Bombyx mori: one gene and its partner. The protein of the gene in region 1 binds, or shares a complex with, the protein of each later gene. Links are inferred from orthologs where the notes say so. Each region holds a gene or a part of one and is shown in the gene's direction. Other genes may lie near its edges.

Region 1 (3,859 bases):
ATTGCAGATTGAATTAGGGTAGGCCACTTTCGGTCAGAGGTCACAGAACAAAGTTGCAAATTAAAATATATTGTAAAAACTAAAAACAGACACTCCAATATCAAGCTGCACTAAAATTCCAAATATTTATTTTGTTATCCGGGTGGTCCAGTCAGGACATTAGGCCAAAGTAATATTTAATTGTATTGTATTCAATCCCAGATGCGTGAGCCACAATTAGATACATATCGACGCTTGAAAGGCAAAAGTGACTAAGCGACAATAACTGCTTTGCACATAAATGATAGGCAATAACCATATTTGATCCGCAAAAAATATATATTTCTAGGTCTATTAAAATCATTTCAATCCTACAGCTACTAGCTAGTTTCTACTACAACTGGATTCGTTAAAATAAATTTTGTTTTCAGGTATTTCAACTTTAAATTAGTCTACTGTAAAGTTCACGCATTGTCGCTTAGTCACGTTTGCCTTTCAAGCGTCGATATGTATTTAGATATAGATTATGTAAATAAAATTTACAAAAAGCTCTATAAATGCGTAATAAAATAGTTTATATGCGGTTTCAGTATGGGAGACTAGTACGGGTCGCTGTCTCCGCACAATAGAGCTAGGCGAGCCCGTGAGCCGCGTGCTGTGGAGCCCCGCGCCCGCGCTGTGGCTGGTGGCGGCCGCCGCCGGGAGCCGCCTGCTGCTGCTCAACCCGGGCACGCGCATCGGCCACCACCGCCGCGCCGCGCGCACCGACCTGCTGCTCGACGAGCCGCCCCCGCAGCACGACGTGCAGCGTGAGCACTCACTCAACAACTCATACTTCATTTGGATGCGATGACTCACTTTTTTTTTTCGCTATCAAACAAGTTTTTATCCGCTTTAAATCAGTATATCTCAAATAAATGCTCTAAGCTAAAAAATAAGCTTTCTAGTCCCCCAAGTCTTGTAAGAGTCGACTAATGTACTGAGTGTGCTAAAATGTCATAACGCGCAGCGGACGAGCGCACAGCGTCTGCGGTGAAGTGGGAGCGGGTCACTCCGGAGGACTGGGCCAAAGGGATACGCATTGCGATCACGCACTTTAAGCCCATCGTGCACGTAAGTTCAATTAGACATTTTATAGATCGCATTTAAATTAAATCTCTTCTCGATCTTTAGATTCTGACTTTAAAAAAACCCACCCGGGTGCTTCCCTTCTCGTCAATAAAGACGTCCGTTGTAAAGAGTGCGTGCGCAGGTGTCGTGGCACGGGCGCGGCGACTACGTGGCGGCGAGCGTGCGCGCGGAGGGCGGGCGCGCGGTGTGCGTGCACCAGGTGTCGCGGCGCCGCTCGCAGCTGCCGCTGGCGCGCCTGGCGGGGCAGGTGCAGGCGGCGCACTTCCACCCCGCGCGCCCGCTGCTCGCCGTGGCCACGCAGCGCGCCGTGCGCCTCTACGACCTGCTCAAGCAGGAGCTGGTGCGCAAGCTGCGGCCGGGCGCGCAGTGGATTAGCGACTTCGCCTTCCATCCCGCCGGAGACAACATGCTCGTGGCTTCTTACGACCGGAAGTGCATGTGGTGCGTACTGGTCCTGAGTGCGCGGTCGCGTGCTGCAGCGGGGTGACGGTGCGGCGCTCTCTTGCAGGTTCGACCTGGAGCTGTCCCCGCGGCCCTACCAGACGCTGCGGCTGCACGGCGGGGCGGTGCGCGCGCTGGCCTTCCACCGGCGCTACCCGCTGTTCGCGACGGGCGGCGACGACGCGCACGTGGTGGTGTCGCACGGGATGGTCTACAAGTACGTGTCGCCCGACTGCCGCCGGAACGCGTAAACTCCTTCCCGTACCTAATGAGTGTGATGTTGTCTGCAGCGATCTCCTGCAGAACCCGCTGATAGTCCCGCTCAAACAAATCCGCGGCCCAGAAGTCAAGGACGAGCTGTGCGTGCTGGACCTGCGCTTCCACCCCACGCAGCCCTGGCTGCTCGCCGCCGGTGCAGATTCTACTATCAGACTCTACTCTTGAAACCCAATAAGAAAAACTTTAGCACACAATATAAATAGCACTATTATTTTGATGGAATGTCCCTTTTCTTACACTGCGGCGGTGGGCGCGCGCACGTCCCGTGACCACCACTGAGTGCAACAAACTGCCACATAGACATACATATTATCAATCATCCTACCTATTGTTACTGTAAAACCCTAATACATTGGTTTACATTTATCTCATATCTCAAAGTGAACTGCAACTTTTACATCATGTTTGTGGGCCTTTTTGGACTGGGGGCAGAATATTTTAAGGAAAACCCACATTGTGGGGGCACCTTCGAACCTTGCCCGAGGCAAAGACCATCGGTACCTAGTTGTTGGCTTTCTTAAAAGTCAATTATTACCTTTATATATAGTTCTGGTGATATAATTAAGAATGATTTAAAATAACAGTTTTTTTTTTATCTAAATCATATTGATATGTGTATTTATGCAAGTGTTCCTTCTCATATGTAACCAGTTATGTTATGAAACAGCCATATATAACATACATATGTATATATTCCCACATAGGTATAGCAATAAATTTAATCAGTTTGTAATGAATTTAATCAGTTTGTAATGAAGCTGAATAAATATATAAGAAAAAATTGAAATTGCACTAGTGATTTTATATGAAGCCTAAATTATATAATTTCAGTATTATTGGTGGTAGGATGTCTTGTGAGTCTGCACGGGTAGGTATGTATCAACAGTAGCACCGCCCTGCCTATTTCTGCCGTGAAGCAGTAATGCGTTTTGGTTTGAAGGGTGGTGCAGCCATTGTACTTTTATAACTAAGACTTTAGAACTGATGCCTCAAAGTGGGTGGCGGAATTTACGTTGTTGATGTCTATGGGCTTCTGTAACCTCTTCACACCAGGTGGGCCATGAGCTCGTCCAACCATCTAAGCAATATCAAAAAAATGTGAAGTGTGTAAAGGAAAATACATTTTTAACTAAAATTAATAGTTAGAAGCACATTCACGGTCTTTAATTACTGCACTACACCAGTATTGTCTCGTCCGAATAAAGTACATTTCTCCACAGTTTAGCTGTCCAGTTTTCATACCTTCTTGCAATTACAAGCCTGGACTGTCTATGTCATCGTTTCAACAGGGACACTTTTCTTACTATCCTTTCGTGAAACTATTCTTCTATGAAGCGCCTTCGAATCTTTTATACAACCGATTCTTCTCGCGAAGTTTTATTATTACTATTGTAGAAACGATCATTAAATGAACAATATAAATTAGTTCGAATAAATTTGTTCGTTGCGTTGCCTCCAAAAGACCCATAGAAAATCGATTTGAATAAAAAAGTCGTACACTCATAAACATAACGTCCCGAGAAGTTACGTTCAGCGGCTTTGTTTCATTTTCCAATATTTGTGCACTTTACAGATATTAAATAGTTAATAAACCACCATTATTACACATTTAAACCCGAAGAAACGCTAAATAGACAAAATAAAACAAATCGCACAACTTCACTTTTCGCGTTCCCGCTAAAAAGTACATTAATAAATTTAATAAGTTATTTTCTTAAGGGATTTTATGACGTGGTAACTAAGACCTTTAAGTCAAGTCTTAATTTTTACTAAAAAGCTATTAAAGTAGGTATATATAGGTTAGTTTGGTTTATTTTTTTACATGACGTTTAGCGATCGATGTTTACACTAGTCTACTATATCGGTAAAACAGGTTGTGTTTGTTCTACTAAAGGCTCGTCTAAAATTAATGTACACATTTCTTTTATATACAAATATTTTGTTTTAGTATAATTTTTTTCATTGAAAAACAAAATAAATGAAAAAAACGACAACGTCTTAAAAACAGTACTGTCCTGTCAAAAACAGT
Region 2 (5,330 bases), on another chromosome or scaffold:
TTCCGTGTTTGGATCCTGCTAAAGCGAACATTCCCCAATATTCTCCGTTTCATTTTTTCTATCCCCAAATGATGTCTGCATATACAAAAGCAATGAGCATTTTAAAGGAGGCTGGTGTTAATGAAGATACTGCCAACTCTGTGATGCCAACACCGCCGATGTGGTCGCCTTATTCTTATCCTATGTACGTAATGATGGATCCTAGTACATGGACCAAAAGTCAAGGAACAACTCCTGCTCCTAATACTAAGAGCGAAAATAAATGATTTTGGATTTTAATATTATTTAGATAAATAAAAAAGGATTAATTTATAATATTATGATAATTATTAAATAAATGTAACTGGATTATATATTTTCTTATTAAATAAAAATTCTCAAGATGAACCTTAATTAAATTAGATCTTCAGTCGAAATGAACACGGGAGCAAAACCTTTGCTAAGTTACGATGATTTTTTTCTTCGATGAACGTTTTCTTTGTAATTATTTTGTATCTTAAGTTCCATGAGAAGTTATCTGAGGAATAGTTCCAGTTTTTTTTTTTTTTTATTGCTTAGATGAGTGGACGAGCTCACAGCCCACCTGGTGTTAAGTGGTTACTAGAGCCCATAGACATCTACAACGTAAATGCGTCATCCACCTTGAGATATAAGTTCTAAGGTCTCAGTATAGTTACAACGGCTGCCCCACCCTTCAAACCGAAACGCATTACTGCTTCACGGCTGAAATAGGCAGGGAGGTGGTATCTACCCGTGCGGACTCACCAGAGGTCCTACCACCAGTATTTACGCAAATTATAATTTTGCGGGTTTGATTTTTATTATCCGATCTTATTCCTTCATCGTGGAAGTCAATCGTGAACATTTGTTAAGTACGTATTTCATTAGAAAAATTGGTACTCACCTGCGGGATTCGAACACCGGTGCATATCGTTCAACACGAATGCACCAGAGGTCTTGTCCTTTAGGCCACGACGACTTCAAAATTCTGATGATGATTCCGCGAACCCCATTTAGCCACTGCAGTGCCCGCCACCGTAGCAAAACTCACACATATCACCGACCTGGCAACACTCAATTCAACATTTGTGATCTTTTTATCACAACACCATGCGGCTCTGGAATGAAATCCCTCCTACAGATGTGTCTAAGGTTTTGCAGCATATATCCTCCTTCATCAAACGAGACTCGAAAAGAGTTGTTTTGTAAACATTACAGAAGCTCGGCTAAGCCACTGGGATTATTCATATTTGTGAGCATCGGTGACGACTCGGTGATCTAATAGGCCGTGTGCTCATCTGTCTTCTAAGGTAATAAAAGGAACAAATTTGTGCACTTGCAGCAGCTTCACTGTGCCCCTGGCGTTGCCGACCTTCATGATATTTAAGCAGCTTGTAGTCTTTACATTCTTTGCGGAAATCTTTAATATTTATGGGATTGCGTAGTTTTATTTAAATAATATCTCAAACATATTTTTTCATACATGTAGTACCGAAATAGAATACGACCGAAACCGATCAGAAGATCCGGTGAGTAACTTAGCGAGTTGATGTTATGGGTTAGATTTCATGGGTTTCAATGGATTAGATTATCGGGGTCCCTATGCCTGTTCTTAGCGTTAGAGTTTCAGGCGTCTGGTAAAAATGTGAGTAGACCAGCTAGATCTTGAAGGATGTCCTCTCGTGTCAAGCGTCATCATCATAAATCACCTTCACCTCATTTCATCCTTATTATTTTCACTTATCAGAATGTTTAATGTTTAGACTGTATAATGTGATACTTTTGCCTTTTCTGTTGGAAAATGGAACTACTACTACTGTCAAAAATGTCAAAATGCTGTTTGGATTTTGATTTGATCTCCAAATCTCCATTAATCTTTCTAAAATGTGCGAACTTGTGAAATAATAATAGACGCACATTCAATATTTAATACAACCAAACAAAAAACCTTTACATATTACTTTCTGAACAAGGATAACAATCACAATGGTGTCCAAAAAGAAGAAGAAGGTGTGTACTTACCTATAAATCGAACACGTGTTTTATGTTGTCTTCAAAGATCCTAACCAACAAATATTTTATTTTTAGTATTCTTCCGGAGAAGGAGCTCAGTTTATGACCAGAAAAGCAGCGCTTAAGAAACTACAACTATCCTTGAAAGATTTCAGACGTATTTGTATTTTGAAAGGAATATACCCCCGAGAACCTAGAAACCGAAAGAGGGCTCAAAAAGGTGCAGGCGGAATCAAAACACTTTATCACACTAAAGATATAAAATTTTTACTACATGAGCCAATAATATGGAAACTGAGGGAACTAAAGGTAAAAAATATGCCAAAAGTAGCAATATAAGTAATACTTTAAGTTTATTTTCAAAATTTTGTTAAAACTTACAAAATGACTTAATTTTAGGTTTATCAACAAAAAATTCGTCGTGCAAGAGCACAGCGAGAATATGGCAAGATGAGAAAGTTTTTGCGGGACTATCCAGAAATAAACATTGATCACATAGTAAAGGAAAGATACCCCACGTTTGTTGACGCTTTGCGAGATTTGGACGATTGTCTCACATTGTGCTTCCTATTCAGTACTTTCCCATCATTGAAAAAAGTTCCAAGAGACCAATCATTCTTGTGCAGAAGACTGACAGTTGAATTCATGCATGCAGTAATTGCTGCTAAGGCTCTACGTAAAGTGTTTGTATCGGTTAAGGGATTCTATTATCAAGTTGAATTTGAAGGACAAACAATAACATGGATTGTTCCACATCATTTCTCATTCCAGGTACTTGAATGTTTATTATATAAGTTTTAACAAACATTAAAAGATGATCAAAAATATTAAATAGATACAAAAATGTACTAAAGAAAAACAAAAACATTAAAACTTGCCTCTACAACTGTTAAGTGGTCATATGGGGTCAGCACTTATATTCATGTTCTGGGTGGGACTAATCTAGATACTGAAAGCAAAAGCTGCTCGACATAATAATATACTTGGTTTCATTTATTAACTGTGATAGGGTGTCTTGTGAACCCACACTAAGGTACCACCATCTTGTCTATTTCTGCCACATAGCCATAATGCATTTTGATTAGGAAGGCAAGTTTGCTATTGTATAGTAAACCTGAGACTAAGAACTGTTGTCTCAAGGTGTATGGTTGCATTTATGTTGTTGAAATCTGTGGGCTCAATAGAAAAGAGTTAGTATGTTTGTTCTCTTTACATTCCTAAACCATTTATTTCATTCTGTAATCATTCACACTAGGGAAGATTTAGGTCATAGTGCTATCTAGATATATATATACCTTAGGTGGCATGCAGTATTTCCAAAACACTGATTTTTTTTCTAGAATTAGTGGAGTGTGACTGGTGTTCACTAGTATTTATAATTGGTTTTTTTTAACAGCCACAAAGCAAAGATGAAGTAGACTTCAAAATTATGGCGACATTTGTGGAATTTTACACTATGATGCTTGGTTTTGTGAATTTCAAGCTGTATCACTCACTGAATTTAGTTTATCCGCCTAAACTCCCTATTGGTTTCTCTTCTGAAAAAGACAAAGACCTTATTGACGAACAATCATATGTGTCAGAACGTATAGCTGCTATGAATATTTCACCTGCAAAAATTGAAGGATCAAATGAAGTTGAAGAGTTACCAGAAATTGACATATTTCCCACAGAAGATAATGATCCCCAAAAACTAGAAGAAGCCAAACTTGAGGCAGAAAAAATTAAAAAGCTAAAAACATTGTTCAAAGGGTTAAAGTTTTACATAAATAGAGAAGTACCCAGGGAACCCTTAGTATTCATAATTCGCTGCTTTGGTGGAGAGTGCTCATGGGATAAAGATCACTTTGTAGGTGCAACATTTGATGAGACAGATGAAACTATTGCCTACCAAATAGTAGACAGACCAAGTATGGATAAACAATACTTATCGCGATACTACATCCAGCCGCAATGGGTTTTTGACAGTGTTAATACAAGAACTTTGTTGCCAATCAATAAGTACTTGATTGGTGCTATTCTTCCGCCTCACTTGTCACCATTTGTTGACACTATAAAAGATCAAGTATACATACCACCAGAAGAAAGAGAGCTTAACGATCCAAACTTCAAACCACTCAGTAAGAATATTTCAAACAAATTTTATCTAATGAAATATGCTAATCTTTTTCAGTGTTGGTTTTATTACTCCAAATAGGTAGACACAAAATTTCAATATAATTATGACTGATCTCATATCTCATGGTGGGTGGGTGCTATTTACATTGTGATATTTTTTTCACTTTAAACCATGTGGGCTGAAAACTTATATGCCATTTTTATATTCAGTATTAATATATTCAGTCTTAAGTAATATTTTCATTTATATCAGCTGGCAATAAACATATCAATGGTTAATTAGAAAGCTTGCGCCATACATTGTTTGTGCATAATATAGAAGGTACAGCTCAATGATCTTAAAATTAACCATTGTCATTTAGTGATATTTATTCAAACAGATGCAGATTCTTCTGGAAGTGAAATAGAAGAAGCCAGTGATGAAGACAAGGAGGAGCAAAATGAGCCCGACTCTGAAGATAGTGATGCTGAAAGAGCTATTACTAAGCAATATCAGCAGGAGGTTGATGAAGATTCATCTCAAGATGAAGAAGAAAATGATGATGATGATTTGGACCCTGAGAAAAAGAAACTGGCTAAAGAGAAGGTAAAAAAAATCCCACTACATAATATGAATGACTATAATTTTACTATTGAAAATCAGAATTTTCTATGTTTTCTACCTTGATTTTATTCAGTTTGACCTAATTTTGATAATGTTCAGTTTTATTAATATGATTACAACTTTTTTATAAATAATAACGATAACTTAGAACCAATTTTTTCTTATTAATGATAAAAATCTTAGGTTTCATGTGAATAGAAAAATAAATCATTATAGGAGATATAATATAAGTTTGATAGTAAAGAATTTATATATGATGGGTTATTTTCAGAAAAAATCAATGAGGGTAACGACAGGTGTAACCCATAAAGAACATCCTTATCAAAAAGAAATAGAAGACAAACAGGCATTCCGGTTACGCGAGAAGCTAGTACGAAAGAAGCACCGCAATCTGTATAAAAGTATGAAAGCAGGTCAAGAAAAACGTAAGAAGGAAATATGGCTGCTTAGGAAAAAACGTCGCCTTCACGACGAGAAGATCAAAGATGAAAAGAAGGCAGAAAAACGGAAACAAAAAATGCAAGCACTAGAAGCTACTTCTATTTGAGATTTATTAATAAATACTATTTTCAACAACTAAAACTTATTTTAATTT

Evidence for each region.
Region 2: ribosome biogenesis protein BOP1 homolog (region 1) and pescadillo homolog share a complex: the UniProt entries of both Homo sapiens proteins name them as parts of the peBoW complex. The link is inferred for Bombyx mori from reciprocal best matches to the Homo sapiens genes BOP1 and PES1.

What each region holds. Positions count from the first base shown.
Region 1 is NC_085124.1:470,640-474,498, reverse strand, and holds the end of ribosome biogenesis protein BOP1 homolog, read left to right. Parts: intron 1-569; coding exon 570-788; intron 789-988; coding exon 989-1,092; intron 1,093-1,231; coding exon 1,232-1,551; intron 1,552-1,618; coding exon 1,619-1,768; intron 1,769-1,841; coding exon 1,842-1,995; 3' UTR 1,996-2,617; downstream 2,618-3,859. UniProt on the Homo sapiens protein: Component of the PeBoW complex, which is required for maturation of 28S and 5.8S ribosomal RNAs and formation of the 60S ribosome.
Region 2 is NC_085116.1:5,444,699-5,450,028, reverse strand, and holds pescadillo homolog, read left to right. Parts: upstream 1-1,783; 5' UTR 1,784-1,986; coding exon 1,987-2,010; intron 2,011-2,088; coding exon 2,089-2,322; intron 2,323-2,412; coding exon 2,413-2,784; intron 2,785-3,409; coding exon 3,410-4,133; intron 4,134-4,511; coding exon 4,512-4,717; intron 4,718-5,006; coding exon 5,007-5,282; 3' UTR 5,283-5,317; downstream 5,318-5,330. UniProt on the Homo sapiens protein: Component of the PeBoW complex, which is required for maturation of 28S and 5.8S ribosomal RNAs and formation of the 60S ribosome.